4 linked regions of the Rattus norvegicus genome follow. The main gene of each other region encodes a partner of the protein of the gene in region 4 in a complex. Links are inferred from orthologs where the notes say so. Each region holds a gene or a part of one and is shown on either strand. Other genes may lie near its edges.

Evidence for each region.
Region 1: the proteins of Wdr59 (region 4) and Mios are in contact, whole or in part, in a cryo-EM structure (PDB 7UHY), measured with the Homo sapiens proteins. The link is inferred for Rattus norvegicus from reciprocal best matches to the Homo sapiens genes WDR59 and MIOS. Residues at the interface, in NP_085058.3 of Homo sapiens: Tyr871, Arg876, Glu877, Arg879, Ala880, Glu881, Leu883, Lys884, Pro889, Pro890, His893, Lys894, Gly895, Ile896, Glu897, Phe898, Gly899, Val900, Tyr901, Arg906, Glu908, Val909, Arg910, Thr912, Phe922, Gln923, Ala925, Ile926, Cys927, His928; in NP_001357005.1 of Homo sapiens: Asp705, Trp710, His711, Arg713, Ala714, Ile718, Ser721, Lys728, Pro729, Leu730, Ala731, Gln732, Val733, Phe734, Val735, Ser736, Cys737, Asn738, Phe739, Ile744, Lys780, Pro781, Leu782, Pro783, Leu787, Cys788, Leu789, Gly793, Pro795, Gln819.
Region 2: the proteins of Wdr59 (region 4) and Sec13 are in contact, whole or in part, in a cryo-EM structure (PDB 7UHY), measured with the Homo sapiens proteins. The link is inferred for Rattus norvegicus from reciprocal best matches to the Homo sapiens genes WDR59 and SEC13. Residues at the interface, in NP_085058.3 of Homo sapiens: Ala525, Tyr526, Gly527, Asp531, Ala532, Asn533, Ile534, Pro535, Phe536, Pro537, Arg538, Thr539, Ser540, Gly541, Ala542, Arg543, Phe544, Cys545, Gly546, Ala547, Tyr549, Val551, Phe553, Thr554, Arg555, Met557, Ala644, Gly645, Lys646, Val647; in NP_899195.1 of Homo sapiens: Val4, Ile5, Asn6, Thr7, Val8, Asp9, Thr10, His12, Asp14, Met15, Ile16, His17, Asp18, Ala19, Gln20, Met21, Asp22, Tyr23, Tyr24, Gly25, Leu28, Val42, Pro59, Trp61, Gln62, His67, Pro68, Tyr79, Ser105, Asn107.
Region 3: the proteins of Wdr59 (region 4) and Seh1l are in contact, whole or in part, in a cryo-EM structure (PDB 7UHY), measured with the Homo sapiens proteins. The link is inferred for Rattus norvegicus from reciprocal best matches to the Homo sapiens genes WDR59 and SEH1L. Residues at the interface, in NP_085058.3 of Homo sapiens: Pro713, Asp714, Glu716, Thr717, Pro718, Arg721, Arg837, Glu840, Gln843, His844, Asn847; in NP_112493.2 of Homo sapiens: Asn308, Tyr309, Met310, Asn312, Lys314.

The regions. Positions count from the first base shown.
Region 1 is NC_086022.1:37,246,927-37,250,847, reverse strand, and holds part of Mios (GATOR complex protein MIOS), read right to left. Parts: intron 3,122-3,921; coding exon 2,963-3,121; intron 1-2,962. UniProt on the Homo sapiens protein: As a component of the GATOR2 complex, functions as an activator of the amino acid-sensing branch of the mTORC1 signaling pathway. The GATOR2 complex indirectly activates mTORC1 through the inhibition of the GATOR1 subcomplex.
Region 2 is NC_086022.1:148,443,792-148,448,148, forward strand, and holds the start of Sec13 (protein SEC13 homolog), read right to left. Parts: upstream 2,945-4,357; 5' UTR 2,913-2,944; coding exon 2,910-2,912; intron 107-2,909; coding exon 62-106; intron 1-61. UniProt on the Homo sapiens protein: Functions as a component of the nuclear pore complex (NPC) and the COPII coat. At the endoplasmic reticulum, SEC13 is involved in the biogenesis of COPII-coated vesicles.
Region 3 is NC_086036.1:63,623,182-63,627,102, reverse strand, and holds part of Seh1l (nucleoporin SEH1), read right to left. Parts: intron 2,337-3,921; coding exon 2,190-2,336; intron 1,090-2,189; coding exon 878-1,089; intron 1-877. UniProt on the Homo sapiens protein: Component of the Nup107-160 subcomplex of the nuclear pore complex (NPC). The Nup107-160 subcomplex is required for the assembly of a functional NPC.
Region 4 is NC_086037.1:56,390,269-56,394,818, forward strand, and holds the start of Wdr59 (GATOR2 complex protein WDR59), read right to left. Parts: upstream 2,928-4,550; 5' UTR 2,679-2,927; coding exon 2,625-2,678; exon of another isoform or gene 2,618-2,624; intron 1-2,617. UniProt on the Homo sapiens protein: As a component of the GATOR2 complex, functions as an activator of the amino acid-sensing branch of the mTORC1 signaling pathway. The GATOR2 complex indirectly activates mTORC1 through the inhibition of the GATOR1 subcomplex.

The sequences.
Region 1 (3,921 bases), on a different chromosome or scaffold from region 4:
GCAAAATCTCTTTTGAGTTTAAGGAGCAAGCAGCAAATGATCCACTTTTATTGATAATGTAGTTAATCCACTTTTATTGATAATGTAGTTAACCCACTTTTATTGATAATGTAGTTAATCGTGATGAGAAAACCTTTTGTTCTAAGTACTAAAACTTATGGATTCAAAATCTCTGCTTATAATGTATCCAAATTGTACATCAAAACTACTTAATAACATTTAAACCAATACTGAGCCTGGCTTCAAATCTGGTAGTGAAATGCTGCTTTTGAGTACTTTAAATGTGAAGTGCACATAGGCACTAGTACGAAGCAAGCATTGGTTTTCCTTAAGTTTACAGTTCTCATCAGAACATCAATTCTAGACAGTAAGAATATCTCTAAAACGGTTTTAGTGTCAGAGTCGGCAGTCAAAATCTTTAATTCAGGATGTAGCACATTCAAAGAAATAAGCTCAAAGAAAAATATTACAGACTCATGGAAAATAACCCCTTCAACTAGTGAGTAAATAAAGAATCTAACCTGAGAAATGTAATCTATAACAAAGCTGACATTCTATGTTTGAAATGGAAAATAACTGAAATTAGGAATTGCCTCAATACTAGAAAGAACAGATCAGAAAAAAATGCAACAAAGGGGGATGATTTAGAACAATGCATAAATTAAAACAAATTATGCAGTTACCACAGAGAAGTCCATTACTTTGTATGTTAACTTAAATAACTAATTTTAAAAGTACTTTTGGACGTGGGAGAAAAAAATTCCCTGGCTAGTTTAATGGCCAAAGCCAGTGTAGAGAGAACAAATAAACAAACCAGCATTAACTGTCTAACTGAAGCTGGCATGGAAGCATTCCAAGTCACTCAGCACTCAGAGGCACAGTCTGTGATCCCAGCCTGGCCTGCAAAGCCAATCCTGGGCCAGCCAGGGTTAACAATGAAACCCTGTCTCAAAGCAAAACAAAAGGAGAAGAAAAGAAATTGTCCAACTGAAGAGAGGAAAGTAAATAATAAAAAGAAGAAAGAAAATGAACAGAACCCTAAGCTCTGAGTAAAACTTATTTACTATATGCAGAATAAAATGAAGGAAAAAAGGAGCAAGTATGGAAAAGAGAACGATACACAGAAATAATATACAAACCACCCCAAACCTGATGAAAAATGTTAATTGAGAGAGCCAAGAAGCTCAGCAACCAGTACACATGATGCAAAAGAACTGTAACTGGGTACAAAGGTGTCATTTTTTTCTGAGAAAGGGGGCTTCTTGAAAGAAATCCATGGTAAGGTAAAACACCACATACAGGAAACAAGGAAGAGAGCTGATTTCTCAACAGAATCAAAGGAGGCAGAAGAAGATGAAGCACTTCTTTAAAGTGCTGCAGGAAAAACTAAGATAAACTAGATGCTTCTGTTAAAAAGCCAGGACAGTCACCTGTATTACAAGAAATGCTAGAGAATAAACAAGGTGATGAAATAAGATTAAGCTCCGATCCACAGGAAGAACAGACACCAGGAACACTAATTAAATAAAAAGTCTGTAATCTTCTAATTTATAGAACAGACAAATCATTGCCTAAAGCAAAAGTAACAATGTACTTTGGGGCTTAGACTCTATATAGATTAAAATATGTGATCTCTGCACAAAGAAAAGGTGCACCAATGAAATTGCACTGTTAAAACACCTGTGAAATGCAAAGTGTGAGAAAATTCAGTGCTGGATGTGTGGTAGGAAAAAGACAGGCATTACAGCATGCCGGGTCTGAAATGCAGTCTGAGGGGAATGTGATTCTGAGGAGTTCAGGATGCACACTGTGAGACAAAGCACCAGCTTTGGCAAAAACCAGTAAAAAGGATACAGCTAAATGACAATAAAGAATTAAGATGAAATAAAAAACTGATACAAAATAAGGTGGGGGAACAAAGGAACAAAAGGAAAGAGGACAAACAAAATGAAAACAGCATGATGGTGGAGTTAACCTTGGCCACATACAAGGAAAAAAAAAGCATCCCAACTAAAATAAAGCCATTATCATACTAGACTTTTTAAAAGGTCACTCACTTTACGTACTGTCTGCATTTTAACAACATTTTACAAATTGTGCTCTTACCAACCCATCTGCACTCTGTAGCCATATATCAGCAGTTGATTTTAGAGACAAAAACTCATCCCAATGAGAAAATTGTATGGAGGCAAACCCTTTCTCACAAGTGGTGGCTTGATACCTTATATAAGCAGACTGCATTTTGAGCTAGCATTACGTAAGTTCACAGGAAAGCACAGAGAAAGGGAGTGGGGTAAACACATTTCAGTTTGTTCATCAACATAAAGCAGGCTTTCATACAAAAGGACTAAGGCACCAAGGAGTGAGGCACTCCTAACAAAAAAGGCTAAGACCAGCTGGAGGCCAACTATGTGTCATAGCAGTGACACACTGGATGGATTTATGTTCTCACACAAAAGTAAAGTATTAAGTAACCTTTTCCTGGAATCTGGTTTAACCACTGAACAGGTAAAGCAATGAAAAAAATGTTGATGAACTAGTTATTCAAATTACTCTGCTGGTAATAAAATGGACACTGGGGAGTAAAAGAACTCAAGTATAACTTCTCTTCTTCCATTCAAATGAAACCAAAACCACTGTTCAGATCAGGCCAGGGAGTCCTTTATGGAAGCTGGGTTAGACTCGGATATGAGCCCTTAGAGAGAAGTTTCTCTGCCTCCACCTGAGCTTTCCATGAACTCAGACACAGCCAAGACCGGTATTTCGGACTACAAGAAAAACCTGGATAAGCTAATGAGGTGATTAGGGCCAGTAAGATGAAACACACTGTCAACAGAACGATGCAGTCAAAGTGCAAACTCAAAATCCATGTGTAGGGGGGAGCATATGGCCTTTAGTGAGGAAACACGGATCATGTGGAATGAGGCCGGGTTTTTTGAAGCCAGTGTCACCCCACACTAACCTGTAACATGCAGTAGCTTGCTGTTTGGACATCTCCAGTTCTGTCCACATAACTCTCCATCAGGTCCACTCCATCTTTAGTGAGGCCGGTCAGCAAGATGCCTTCCAAATTCCCAGCCTCTTTCATTTCATTGGTCAGCTTTTCAATGTATTTATTTAACTGAAAAATTCATAGTGATTGTTCTGATACAATCTGTTTCACTACATATTTTATAGCTGAGAATTACTATATTTAGAACAATTTTATTCTTGATGGAAATGATTTTAGGTCAGAAACCCTTGCCAAACTCTAATATGTGCTGAGAAGTCTACATCAATTTCAAGTTTCAATATAGTATCTATCCACAATCAATTTAGTTTTGTGTGGCATGTGTGCCCTAGGACAAGTACACAATGCTGTACTCAGGTTTTTCACGGGCTCTAGGGGATTCAATTCAGGTGCCTTGAACTTGCACAGTGAGCACCTTAATGACAGTGCTATCTCCCTAGTTCCCACAATCACTTAAAAAACTGTAGGACATTTCCTATGTTTATAGGTGGCTAATGAGAGAAATGTCCTCTTTTCAGCAAGTTCTTGTCTATTATGGTAGTATATAACAGTATCACAGAATCAGAACTATATGTTTATAATCATCAATAAAAACTATTTCCTTTCCACAGTCTCACTTCATCCCATGCAAACTCCAGCCTGCATTCCTCCACATTTCCCTATCACCTGTCACTATTTACAGCACCGCTAGCCATCTGTGTGCATTCCATCCTCACTACCCTCAGAGGCAGCAGGTAAGTGTGAATATACTGAAAACGGTTCCTGTGTATCACATTACTAAAACCTGAGTTTAAAATTTGTATCTGCTGAGTTTTCTTCAAAATGCAAAAATAAACTAAAACATCAACTCAACATTCTAAAACAAATTTAGTTATTACATGCCTATTTATAATTTCAATATAATAACTGCC
Region 2 (4,357 bases), on a different chromosome or scaffold from region 4:
AATGCTCACTGAGGGGAATGCCCATGACGAGGCCCGGGAAAAGGGCTGAATGGATACTTACAATCATGTCCTCATGAGAGGTATCCACAGTGTTAATTACTGACACCTAGAACCAAAGACATTCTGTGAATTCAGTGATAGTAGCCACAACAATCATCTCATTAAAGAACCAATTGTTTCTGAAATTCTTACGGGCATCCATTCACTCACTCATTCACTGGCATGCTCATTCTATAAACTCTTTCTTTCTCATGTGACTTGCTCTCATTATGTAGTTCAGTCTGGCGTTGAACTCAGTATCCTTCTGCCTCAGCCTCCCAAATGCCAGGATTACATATGTGCATTTTTACTCCAGACCTTCTTGTACTGAGTACTGTGTGAAGGACTGCACAGTGTGGAGTGGCAGTTCTTGCCTCAGAGGAGCTCATGTGTACAACCTGCCAGTAGCCAGATCAGCCATACTGTGGTTTACGTGGGTAGGAGGAGTCCAAGATAAAAGGGATACACAGCTACCTTAAGGGATGAGAACCTTGGGGTTGGGGATTTAGCTCAGTGGTAGAGCGCTTGCCTAGCAAGCGCAAGGCTCTGGGTTCGATCCCCAGCTCTGGAAAAAAAAAAAAAGGGATGAGAACCTTGTTGCTCAGAAAGAAGATATAATCCAAGCAGGAAGGGATCCCATGGGCAAAGGTAGTCTTAGACCTTGAGGTCAGTGGAATCAAGCAAGAACAGAGTTCACATTCCCTTTCTGCATCACAAGTGATTCTGATGATGGCCCAGACAGTTTATGTGGAACAGGTTATAATTCAAGAACAAGATTTGACTTTAGTTGCTTCTGAGGCTACTCTCTGGCCTACTATGAACTGTGAAAGGCCTGTCTAGCTAGACTCTTACATACACAACAGCCATGGACAGCTATAGTATCACAAGTGATTCTGATGATGGCCCAGACAGTTTATGTGGAACAGGTTATAATTCAAGACCAAGATTTGACTTTAGTTGCTTCTGAGGCTACTCTCTGGCCTACTATGAACTGTGAAAGGCCTGTCTAGCTAGACTCTTACATACACAACAGCCATGGACAGCTATAGTACTTTATGCTACTTCTCTGCTGGAGAAGGTAAGCTCCCTGAAACTATCTGTAGCTTTGACACATTCTGTCTGTCTGTCTTAGTACAGAGGTCTAGCTAGCCTAGAACTCACTACATAGACCAGGCTGCCCTCAAACTCTTGAGATTTATCTGCTTTTATCTTATTGAGTGCTGGGATTAAAGGAAGGCACCATCACATACCTCAGCTTTAGATCTAAGTTATTTAGCAGAATGTTTTACAGACAGAGGGACTCAGTAGCTATCTACTAAATTAATAAATGGGCAAAGATATACATTTCCCCCCCCTTGGCTCAGCCACTATTAAATTCTTGGGGAGAGAAAAGTAGACTGAAAAGGTAGCTTCCACTGGAGATCGACATTTCTCACATTTTCAACAAGTCATCTTTTCCAGTGCAAACTTGGCAGTTACAAAGCCTGACTCCTCAAGGCAGGTGTGGTGTTGCAGGTCCTTAATACTCTGGAAGATCAAGAGAGTGGGTCAAGAATTCTACAATAGCCTGGGCTACTCTTCAGAAAGGTAGACCCAGGAAGTGTATGGCAACAAGGCATTCAGAAGCCACACATTGAATAAGTACGTGCTTCCTTGAAAATTCTAAATGCTCTAAAAAGTGTCTGCAAAGAGGAATAATAGCACCTGCCTGCAGACAATGACATTTTCCCCTGAGCGTCAAGAGGTACCAGCTGCAATCAATTATAGTCAACAGAAAAACCAAGCAAGTTAATGTGCCAGTGAAGAGAAACAAATCCTTACTAAACCCACACTGCTGGCAACAGACCTAGCTACTAACCTTCTAACACCCTGCTCCCCAATGCACACTAATATTAGAAGGTGGGTGATGTGCTCAAGAATCCCCACAGTCTGGACTGGCTCAAGGAAAAGTAATTTTATATTGGTGGCCTGTAGGACCTTGGAAAGTTGGCATCCTTCAGCCACTCTCAACCAGCGGCCATGGGCTATGATCCACACTTTGGGATGCTATGTGTTTTAAAGCCCTTGGAGCAGTCCTCTGGAACATCTGACACTTATTTGCTTACTACAATACAGTAAGAAGCAGCACTCAAAACAATTCAGCTCATCAGGATCACACCTGGTACAAACTTAGAATGAACTTGTGTATGAGTCTCCAACTTGGCAACAGAAGAGCCAAAGGCCAACAGAAGGAGGCAGCTCCTTGCACCGCTGTGCCAAGCAAGGTCTAAGACTTCAGAGTTCCATTCACTTAGTGTCTCGGGGGTGGCGGTGGGGGAGTGAAGATATACCACTGATACCATGTAAGTTCAAAAATAAAAATAAAAAAGCCGAGACGATGCCCTAGAGTCACCCTACTAGGCCTGCCATCAGTTTCCCGAAGGGACCATCACACTTTGGAGTCCTGTGTCCAAGCAACTGATCCCTCCACCACCTTTGCTGAGGTAGTAGGTGGCAGGACCGATGATTAGAAAGATGATTAGAAGAATTTGGATCTTAGCTTGCCACTGTCCAGCGCAAGTGTTGATGAAAGCAGCATCTGTTCTGCAGGCTAAGCGCAGGGAGGGGATGTGTGCGATAGTGGGAACGTACTAAAGGCTAGTTGGGCAGGAGATCCTATAATAGCTCTGGCTGTTTTTCTAATTCTGGAGGACAAGACACGGGATGGGCAGGAGGTAACTCAGCAGCCCGGGCCCCTGAGTTCCGGAAGGCCCAGCGGCCTTGCCTTAAGCTCCCGCTCCGAGACCTAAAGAGGCAGGACACGCAAACCTTGAGGTCGTAGCGGTGGTCTGCTCCAAGACCACGACTATCTCAGGGACCGCATCACTTACCATAGCTACAGCAGCGGCGACTCACAGCCTCGGACGTGGCAGCTCAGAACGCTTCACTTCCGGCGCCGGACCGCAGCCGGCAGGCCGTCTACCAGGAGCTTCCGGTTAGCAACACACTCGACTCACACAAAGGTTCCGCGTCTTCTGGAGCCTTGGCCCCGCCCTCCTGCAGCTCTGCCCTTATCTTGGCCAACAGCAGGGCTATGGTTGGTGTGGTGACCCTAATCCAGGGATTTTATAATTCGAAGCAGTCACTAGCAGGTTTTTTGGTTTCTTTCCTTCTTTCCTTCTTTCCTTCTTTCCTTCCTTCCTTCCTTCCTTCCTTCCTTCCTTCCTTCCTTCCTTCCTTCTTTCTTTCTTTCTTTCTTTCTTTCTTTCTCTCTTTCTTTCTAACTAGCAGGTTTTCTATTTAGACTAAAATTTTCTGGTTCCTGAGATGTATACATGAAATGACGAGCGGTTACAGCTTCACCCTCCTTTTCTGTGGGCTCTGGGTCCTACTGGCTCATCATGACCGTTGTTGAGGTTAATTTCTCAAGTAGACTGGGCTAGTGCTTTGTTAGGTCTTGCTTTCCATTTAATTTAATGTTGGCTATTGGCTTGCTGTATATTGCCTTATTACGTTTAGGTATGGACCTTGTATCCCGGATCCCTTAAAGACTTTTAGCATGAAGGGGGATTGGATATTGTCAAAGGCTTTTTCTTTAATTTTTTTTTTTTTTTTCAGAGCTGGGGACCGAACCCAGGACCTTGTGCTTGTTAGGTAGGCGCTCTACCGCTGAGCTAAATCCCCAACCCCAGGCTTTTTCATTATCTAATCAGATGATCATGTGGGTTTTTTCAGTTTGTTTATATGGTGAATTACGTTGATGGGTAAAGCAATTCCACTAAATTCAGGGACAAAACAAGGCTGCGCACTCTCTCCCTATCTATTCAAAATAGTATTTGACATTCTACCTAGAGCAAAAAGATAAGTAAATGAGATACAAAACAGAGGAATACAAACTGGAAAGGAAGAAGTCAACGTTTCACTATTAGCAGATGATATGATAGTACATGTAAATGCACCAGCTTTCTTAAGGGATGGCAAGACAGAGTCTCTTAATCTCTGGGAGTCTGTTTTAAGGGAGAGCAACTGGAAAACCCTCAACCTCTTGTCCTTAGCTTTTGTGCTTATACAGCTGTTTAAGGGGGATGAAGACCTCCAGGACAGCTCTTCAGATGCATGTGGTCCCATTTCCCTCTTAGAAGCCAAGTGGCCCAGAGTGGAACCTCCCCTCCCCATTAACTAAATCAAATTTTTTTCTTATTGTATGTTGAAACTGATATCAAATATCTTGGCTGCTGAAACTCAAGGAGTGTGAAGGGTTTTTGGAGAGTGACCAGAAGAGTAGCATCCTTATTGTTGGTATCAGGAATTGCCTTTACCTCCAACAGTGGCACCATTT
Region 3 (3,921 bases), on a different chromosome or scaffold from region 4:
TGTTTTCTACTCTTCTAGATATCTGCAGATTTTCTTACGGAGTGATTAAAAAGATAAACAGAAAGCAAATATGGGTGCTGGAAAGATGTCTCAGCTGTTACGATCACGTGTGCTGCTCCTCCAGGGGACCCAGGTTTCATTCCAAGCACCCACACGGTGACTCACAACAATCTGTAACTCCAGTCACAAGGATCCAACACCCACTTCACACCTCCAAGGACACCAGACACATGTGTTCACCGACATACACATAAAATTAAGTAATAGCTTTGTTTAAAATCTTTTAAAAGCAACCACAGCATAGTCATACAATCGCACTCAACATGGAGCGTTAAACAGGAATAATGAAGAGACGGATATGATGACTGTCTTTCTATTATGTCAACATTCAGGAGGCTGAAGCAGGACAGTAAGTTCAACAGCAAGTTCTAGACCAGCATAGGCAATAAGGTGACAATCCTTCCAATTAGTTAATTGTTTAAGGGATTAATTGGATGCTTTAAAATAAATTATATACTAAAATGTCTTCATATTTTATTCACAAGTATTTTTTTGTGAGAAAAAGAAACTTGAGGAAAATGTATGAGTTCTACACATGACTGAGTATAGTATGTCTTCTTGGGTTGGTATTTCTGCACAGATCTGTCTCTTAAAAATATTCTAATTTATTTTTATTTACATAGAAAATTTTGTAGAAGTTCTCAACTATTGATACTGAATGGGTTCCACCATTTTATGGATATAGGAAAGTGGAAACTTTCTTCTAGATAATATTATGTATTACAAAAAGCATCTGAAAAATTAAGCCAGTAAATTCTTAGCTTGAAAAACCCCTCGCCTGCTTTGGAAGACTTTCAAAGGTTTGACGTGCGCTTACCTGGAAGGGTTCCAAGAAATGCAGCTGCAGCACAGCTTACACGAGATCTCGTGCTGCAGGGACCACTGGCTGAGGTTCATCACATCTGGGGCCTCGTAGACTCTCACGATGCCATCTGCAGAGCAGGTTGCTAACATCAGACCCATGTGCTTGGGAGCAAATTTCACATCTGTAACAGATGTTCTGCTGTCCACTAGAGTTGTCCTTTTCACCTGGAAAAATATAAAATACAATTTAAACCATACACAAAAAGAAATATGATGGATCTGAAGAACAAATGTTTTAGAATCACACAGACAACTCGCCATTTATTAGGTTTTCATCCTTGCATCAGGAACTTAAAGCCACTCCTGGTCTCTATTTCCAGGGAAGCACTTTGCGTATGCAATCTCATAACAAACTAATGAACAGTTATGAGTTTACGAGAGAAGAAAATCTGCCTTTAGAAAGCATCGTGTATTATGTTAGTAATCTCACTGAGCAGACTCGTCACCACCAGAAATGTTCACACTTTTGTACACATAGCTGTCATACAAAGTGTGCTGCAAGCAGTGAGTCAAACCAAGTGGGCTCCTTTAATAGTAAACGTAAGGCCTGTGCCTTCTGCGGCTTCAGTAAAGGAATGGACTGCACCAGAGACAAGACAAACGCCCGCAGACTAAACACCCTTAGAGCAGAACCAGAAGGCAGGATAAGATGCACGCACACACCCTTTTACAGCTTTGGATTTTATATTGTGTGTGATTATTAAGAAAAGTAAATTGACAGCTCCGAAAAAAAAAGAAAAAAAAAGAGAAAAAGAAATTGAAAGGAAAATAAAACACTTCATACAATAAACTTCAACAAAAGTGGTGGAAAGGACTTATAATCTAGTTTAATTCTCTTCTTTAAGAGTTGAGGAATCTGGGGTTGGGGATTTAGCTCAGTGGTAAGCGCAAGGCCCTGGGTTCGGTCCCCAGCTCCGGAAAAAAAAAAAAGAAAGAGAGAGTTGAGGAATCTAAGCAGCACACAGGTAAAATCACCTGACAAAGGCGGAGGTAGAATTTAAAGTAGGCGAAGGGAAGGGGACCTTGGACTATATAGCTCAGTGATAGTGCACGAAGCCCTGGGTTCAATCCCAGGCATTGCAAAATAACTACAAACCAGAAGCCTAAAACCATATAGTAATTACTATACAAATCATACAAAATACACAGAATCTGGTACAAAGAAATCCTTTGGTTTCCCCACTGGAACAATGAAAGACCTAGCAAGCCAAGCCAAAGTGAAACAAACAGGAGAATATGGAAGAAGGAACAGGAACGCATCTTACCCAGTGACTCTGTCCTCGAAGTTTATCGTTTGACTCTCCTACTATTTCTTCCCATACGGCTGCTGTTCGGTCAAAAGAACAGGAAGCCAAAACTTGTCCAAACTCAGGATGAGCCCATGTCACACGCCATACAGATCCACTATGTGTCTGTTTAAAAAGCAAACTGATTTTACTCACTTCACACATATCATTTTACTTGCAAAAATAATAGAACACGGGGTTGGGGATTTAGCTCAGTGGCAGAGCGCTTGCCTAGGGAGCGCAAGGCCCTGGATTCGGTCCTCAGCTCCGGAAAAAAATAAATAAATAAAAATAATAGAACACAAGTAAGTTTTACTTCAGTAAGACAAGAAAGACAGCAATGTAACATTTAAATAGAAAGTTAATTTCTAAAAACAGAACTTTTGGAAGATATTTAGAATAGTGGACTTGGAGAGGATTATTTATTTATTTATTTATTTATTTATTTATTTATTCTTTTCTTTTCTTATGTATGAGTGCTCTGTCCACATGTACACCTATACGCCAGAAGATGGTATCAGATCCCTTTGTAGGTGGCATGAGTCATTATGTGGTTGCTGGGAACTGAATCCCAGACCTCTGGAAGAGCAGTCAGTGTTCTTAACTGCTGAGCTATCTCATCAGCTCCTAGAGTTAGTATTCTTTTTAAATTATCTTTACCTTAGTTTGAATGTGTGCATGTGCATACACACACATGCACGTGTTTTCTCCATCTCTCTCACTGAACTTGGAGCTCACTGATTGGCTAGACTTGCTGGCCAGCCAGCTCCTGTAGATCCTCTAGGCTTTACCACCCTAGCACTGGGATTACAAGAACAAGCTGCCTCCCACACACATTTTATGTGGTTCCAAACTTGGGTCCTCACAATTGCAGAATTATTTGATTCAAGAGCTAACACAGAAAGCTGGAGAGATGGCTCAGCGGGTGAGAGTAGTGGCTGCTCTCACATAAGATTTGGGTTCAGTTCCCAGCACCCACATGGTGGTTCACAACAATCTGTAGCTCCATTTCCAGGGATCTGATGCCTTCCGTCCCCTGAGGACACTGCAAGCTCTTGATGCTAAGATTTCAGGCATGAGCCCACATCTGGTTTTTGCACAACTGCCAATCAAATCAGAGCTCTGTGCATGGTAGGGCAAGCATTGTACTAACGGAGCGATGACCCCAACAACTCCTCTGTATTTCTAAATAGACAGGAAACTCTTAAATAAAAATAAATCTTAAAAGCAAACAATACACAGAAAAGTAACAACAAAATGGTTAAATTATTTGATGTGAAGTTAAACAAGAAACTATTTTATGGATGAAAGCATTAAGTTCAAACCTAAGAAGCCCTAACCCTTGATCAGTCAGGATCAACCAAGGATCCGGAGTGTGCTGTACTGATGCAGGATGCTAGGCAAGATGGATATGCTAGAAACATTTCAACTTACAACCTAATTTATGTTTATTGGTAAATAACTCCATTTAAGTCAAGGAATACATCTAATTTAAAGCTCATTAAGGAGCACTTCATTGTATAGACATATATTACTACTGTGCGTCCTCATGCTGTCAAGAAAGAAAACAGATTGATGTATTTCACCATGAAAGGAATTTGTTAGATGATGTAACAATCACTCTACCCATTACACTTACAAAACCTCACACTTCAATGTTTCTTTGTTGTTGTTATTTTATCATGTGTTTTCATGTAGCCCAGGGGGCTTA
Region 4 (4,550 bases):
AATGTAGAACTCTTCATTCCTTCTCTAGCACCACGTCTGCCTTCATTTCCCACCATGATGGTAATGGACTAAACCTCTGAACAGCAAGTCAATTAGAATTTCTCAACTAAATATTTTTCTTTGTAAGAGTTGTCATGGTCATGGTCTCTTCATGGCAACAGAAACCCTGAGACACATGTGTATACACATGCAAAACATACATACACATGTACTTGCCACCACACACATAAAAACACAAAAACTGAAATAAATAAATCCTTATTGAATAAATAAATAAATAGGTGAATAAAAGTCTGACCCAGAGAAAGTATTTAAGGATGGAGGGATGGCGCAGCCATTAAAGGCTAGATTACAACCAAACATATAAGAAAGTACTCAATAAATATTTGTTGAGGAAATGAAAAAACTTGAGAAGAAATGTCCTAGGTATCAGGAAAGGAAGACATGATATTTATTATGAACCTATGTGTGACACATTATAAGCTATTAAGAGATGAAGTAGCATTATGGGCTCTGGGGCCAGAGACTGTACAAATCCCCGTGGCCACCAGCCACATACAGTAGGCCCTAGACAAGTCTCTCAAGATCAGCCAATGAGGGATCAGCCTCCTCTTTTGGTAGAAAAGAATAATAGCTACTTAGCCTGCAGGGCTCTTTCATCAAGTAGAAAAAGAAAACACAGATACACTGCCTAGCATGAAGCCTGGCACATGGAAGACTCAATACAGAAAAATGATAAAAATATAGCTCAGCTCAGTCAGTGTAGCATGCATGGAGCCTAAGGCACTGCTCAAAACTGTGTGTGGTGGTGCACACCTATGACCTCAGTGCTCAGGAGGAACAGGCAAGAGGACCAAAAGTTCAAGGTCTCCTTAGCTACACGCCAGGCTCAAAGTTAACCTTGGGTACATGGAATCCTGTCTCAAAAGAGTCCTAGTGGGGTTGGGGATTTAGTCCAAGGGGTAGAGCGCTTGCCTAGCAAGCACAAGGCCCTGGGTTCAGTCCCCAGCTCCGGAAAAAAAGAAAAAAAAAAAAAAAAGAGTCCTAGTGCATGCCTCTAACCCCTAGTCTCGGAAGACAGAGGCAGGAGGATCTCTCTGAGTCTGAGGCCTGCCTGGTCTGCATAATGACTTCCAAGAGAGCCAGAGCTACATATGAGACCCTGTCTCAAAAAAGAAAGTGTGGGGTGCGAAGGGATTACTGGCTGGAGAGACGGCCCTCTTCCAGAGCACACAGGCTAGATTTCCAGCATCCACATGGAGGCTAACCACTGTTTGTATCTCTAGATCCAGGAGATTCTGGCCTCAGCAGTCACTAGACATGCAAATGATTTCCATATAAACAGCCAAAACAACCATACACCTAAAATTTTAAATGGATACCTTCAAGACGACCCACAGTGTAAAGTTGCAAGATAATGGCTGTTGACCTAAGCTTAGGTCCCACAGTAGAAGAGTATAGACTCCCCAGTGTTGTCCTCTGATCCCTACGCACCCACACACATCACTCACTATAATGTTTTATTTTAACTTAAAGAAAGGAAAAAATAATTAAACTATTCAGTCAATACAAACTTCTTTTAATTTTTAGTTTTTTTATTTAGTGTGTGTGTGTGTGTGTGTGTGTGTGTGTGTGTGTGAGTGTGTGACCTCCATACAGTATGTGTGGAGGTCAAAGAACAACTTGTGGAAGCTGGCTCTGTCCTTCTGCCACATGGGTCCTGGGGTGGGACTAAAGCTGACAGGCCAATCGGCCAATAACTGAAACGCTTCAAGAGCTCAATGCTAACATTTTAAAAAAGATATCATTTTCATTTTTTTATTGTTCATTTATTTACTGTGCGTACATGTGCCACAGCCTGTGGACGGAGGAAAGAGGATGATGTATGGGAGCTATTCTTCCTGGCTTGCGGGTTCTGGAGATTGAACTCAGGTTGGCAGCCTAGGCAGCAGTGACCTTGCCAGTCACCTTGTGGGCCCCCAATGTTAACAATTTTTGAAGCTTGCCGTGCGACACACGTCTTAATCATGTGACCTCACGCCAGACCTGTAAGTATAATAATCTCCCTTCTACAGGTAAGAAAACTGATGTGTAAAGCGTGACGTCAGGGATGGGCCACAGGGGTGTCCAATCCAAGCAATACATGTATTTTGTCTCCTTTAGCAATCACTTAGTAGGTTGGAACAGATGCTCTGCAAAACAGTATTTCGCAAATTCAACCCACAAATGGTAGGCGAGATTGGTTCAAGTAACTGAGGTTCAGAGAAGTTCTGCAACTTTCCTGAAGTCACCAAGAGCAGTCGACTACCTCAGGGAGTGGACACCTCCCCCAGCTCATTACCTTGTACAAGGGAAGAATCCCTTCAGCATTTACTATCGGTATTTCGGTGTTCCAAGACCATGAGCACTTGTGAAACCCTAAAGGCCATACATGCCTGCCCTAACTGTCCTGATTAGTAATCAAAGCTTCCCTAGGCTATCCTGGCTCTGACAGCTCCGGGTGAGCACCATGTCCATCTCCCCACCTTGAGCAAAGGGATGGATGAAAAGGCGGGGTGGGGGGTCTTGGGGGTGTAAACCACGGAAAGCGCATGCTCAGACGGCTCCATTTACGCACAGCTCACCTGAGAGTCCCGAAACTCCACCACCACGTTCTCGCTGCTCCAGCGCGCTGCCATCTCACAAGCCCGACCGTGGGGTGCCAGTCGGCGACCCTCCACCCCGACCCCAAGACCCGAGACTCCCTAGGTTAGTAAGCCCCACACAGCCAGCTAATAAATCCGGCCACGCCTCGTTCCCTGCCTTTCACTTGACCGCAACGCATTGGCTACTCCGATGATAGATCCCGCCTCTTCTGTTTTCTCCCCCAACCAGGGACCAGACCTGCCTCCAAAAACAGGAACGCCCCTTCATTTCGTCATCAGTACGAGTCACCCGGGCACCCCACTGCTGACACGCCCCCTGCCGTGAGCTCTGCCGGGAATTGTAGTCAAATGTCAGGTCAGCGTCAGTTACCCAGTAAGAGCCTGAGTTTAGAGAGCAGACGCCGCCGGCGGTCCTGTCTTGCTGGTAGTTGGATGGTATCCCCCGTATTCTACTACATACAGCGTATAAACAGGACCGACATCCGTACCAAAGTAAAATAACTTCTTCTGATACCTCTCATCAAGGCTTTGAAAAATTTGAGTTCACAATTCATTGTTTCATGTTGTACAGCCATGCCTCTTACATATCGAAGCTCCGAGGTTCTCCGCAACACTTGGGGAGAGGGGACGGGGGGGGGGGGGGGCAAGTCCCTAAAGGTAAAACAATTTCATAATCATATTAACACGTTACTTTCATTTTCTCTCACCAGTGTGCTGTACAGTTCTCCCGAGGCTGTGTGGTACATAGGGAATGTACTCAGAGAGGTTGTTTAGACTGAATATTAAACGACTTGCCACTCTTTTTGATAACATCGTTTGGTTTTGGAAACTTATTTTTTTCACTGAAGATGTTAATGATACTTACCATTTAACCATATTTTTTTTTATTCATGGCTTTAATTTCTAATACTGTCAATACCTTTATCCACACAAACAGTTTTTGGAGTCTTAGATAATTTTTGAGGATGAAATAAAAAATATCAGGAAGGTTCAGCATAGTAGGTAACAGTTGGCTTCGCTTCAATCCTATCTTTTGAAATCCCGGGTTACCTGGTTTAGCATCACATTCTCTCCTGAAGTAGAAATGTACTGTCTTATTTAGCTGTTGTAAGGCCCGGCACGTTGTAAAGGCTCAAGTATAAACTATTATTGGTATTCCTCTCTGCAAATCGTTGCATGAGCGGAGAGAAGGTATTGGCTCCTTTGCCCCTGAGATGCTTGTTAGAAAGGTCAGACAAACTTGTCTGTAGGATAGGGTGACTGTCATCTCACTGTCACCTGCCTGGAACAGTCCAGGTTTTACCACTATAACCAGCAAAAAAAAAAAAAAAAAAAAAAAAATCTTGCATCCCAGAAAACACCTCGGTACCAAAAAATGGAACAGGACAGCCTGGGCTACACAGAGAAACCATGTCTTGAAAATGAAACAAAACAAACAAAAACTATTGCAGGCTTAGAGGGAGATGGCTTACTGGATAAGAACATTTGCTTTGAAATCACGGGGAGCAGACTCTCAATGTAAAGAGTGAGTGTGTCCCAGTTGGATTCTTTCTGGATTCATTAATTCAATAATTATTTATTATTTCCAAGCTTCAGACGGGTCCCTGGACTGTTTTGTTGAAATCTGCTTGTTACTGCATATACAGGCTGCTCCATGCATGTTTGCCCTGGGTGAATGAGAGCAGCAGATGGTCCCGCAGACCTTTGTAAGTCAGAGGGGTACTCTGTGCAACCGAAAGTAGTAACCTCCAGACGATTCAAGTACTTTTATGTGACTCTGTTTTAAAAGATTTGTTTTGGCTATTTAATTTTTAAGTGTGTGTGTGTGTGTGTGTGTGTGTGTGTGTGTGTGCGCGCGTGTGTGTAGGAAGGAGGGTATGGGTGGGGGTGGGGGTGGGGATGAGG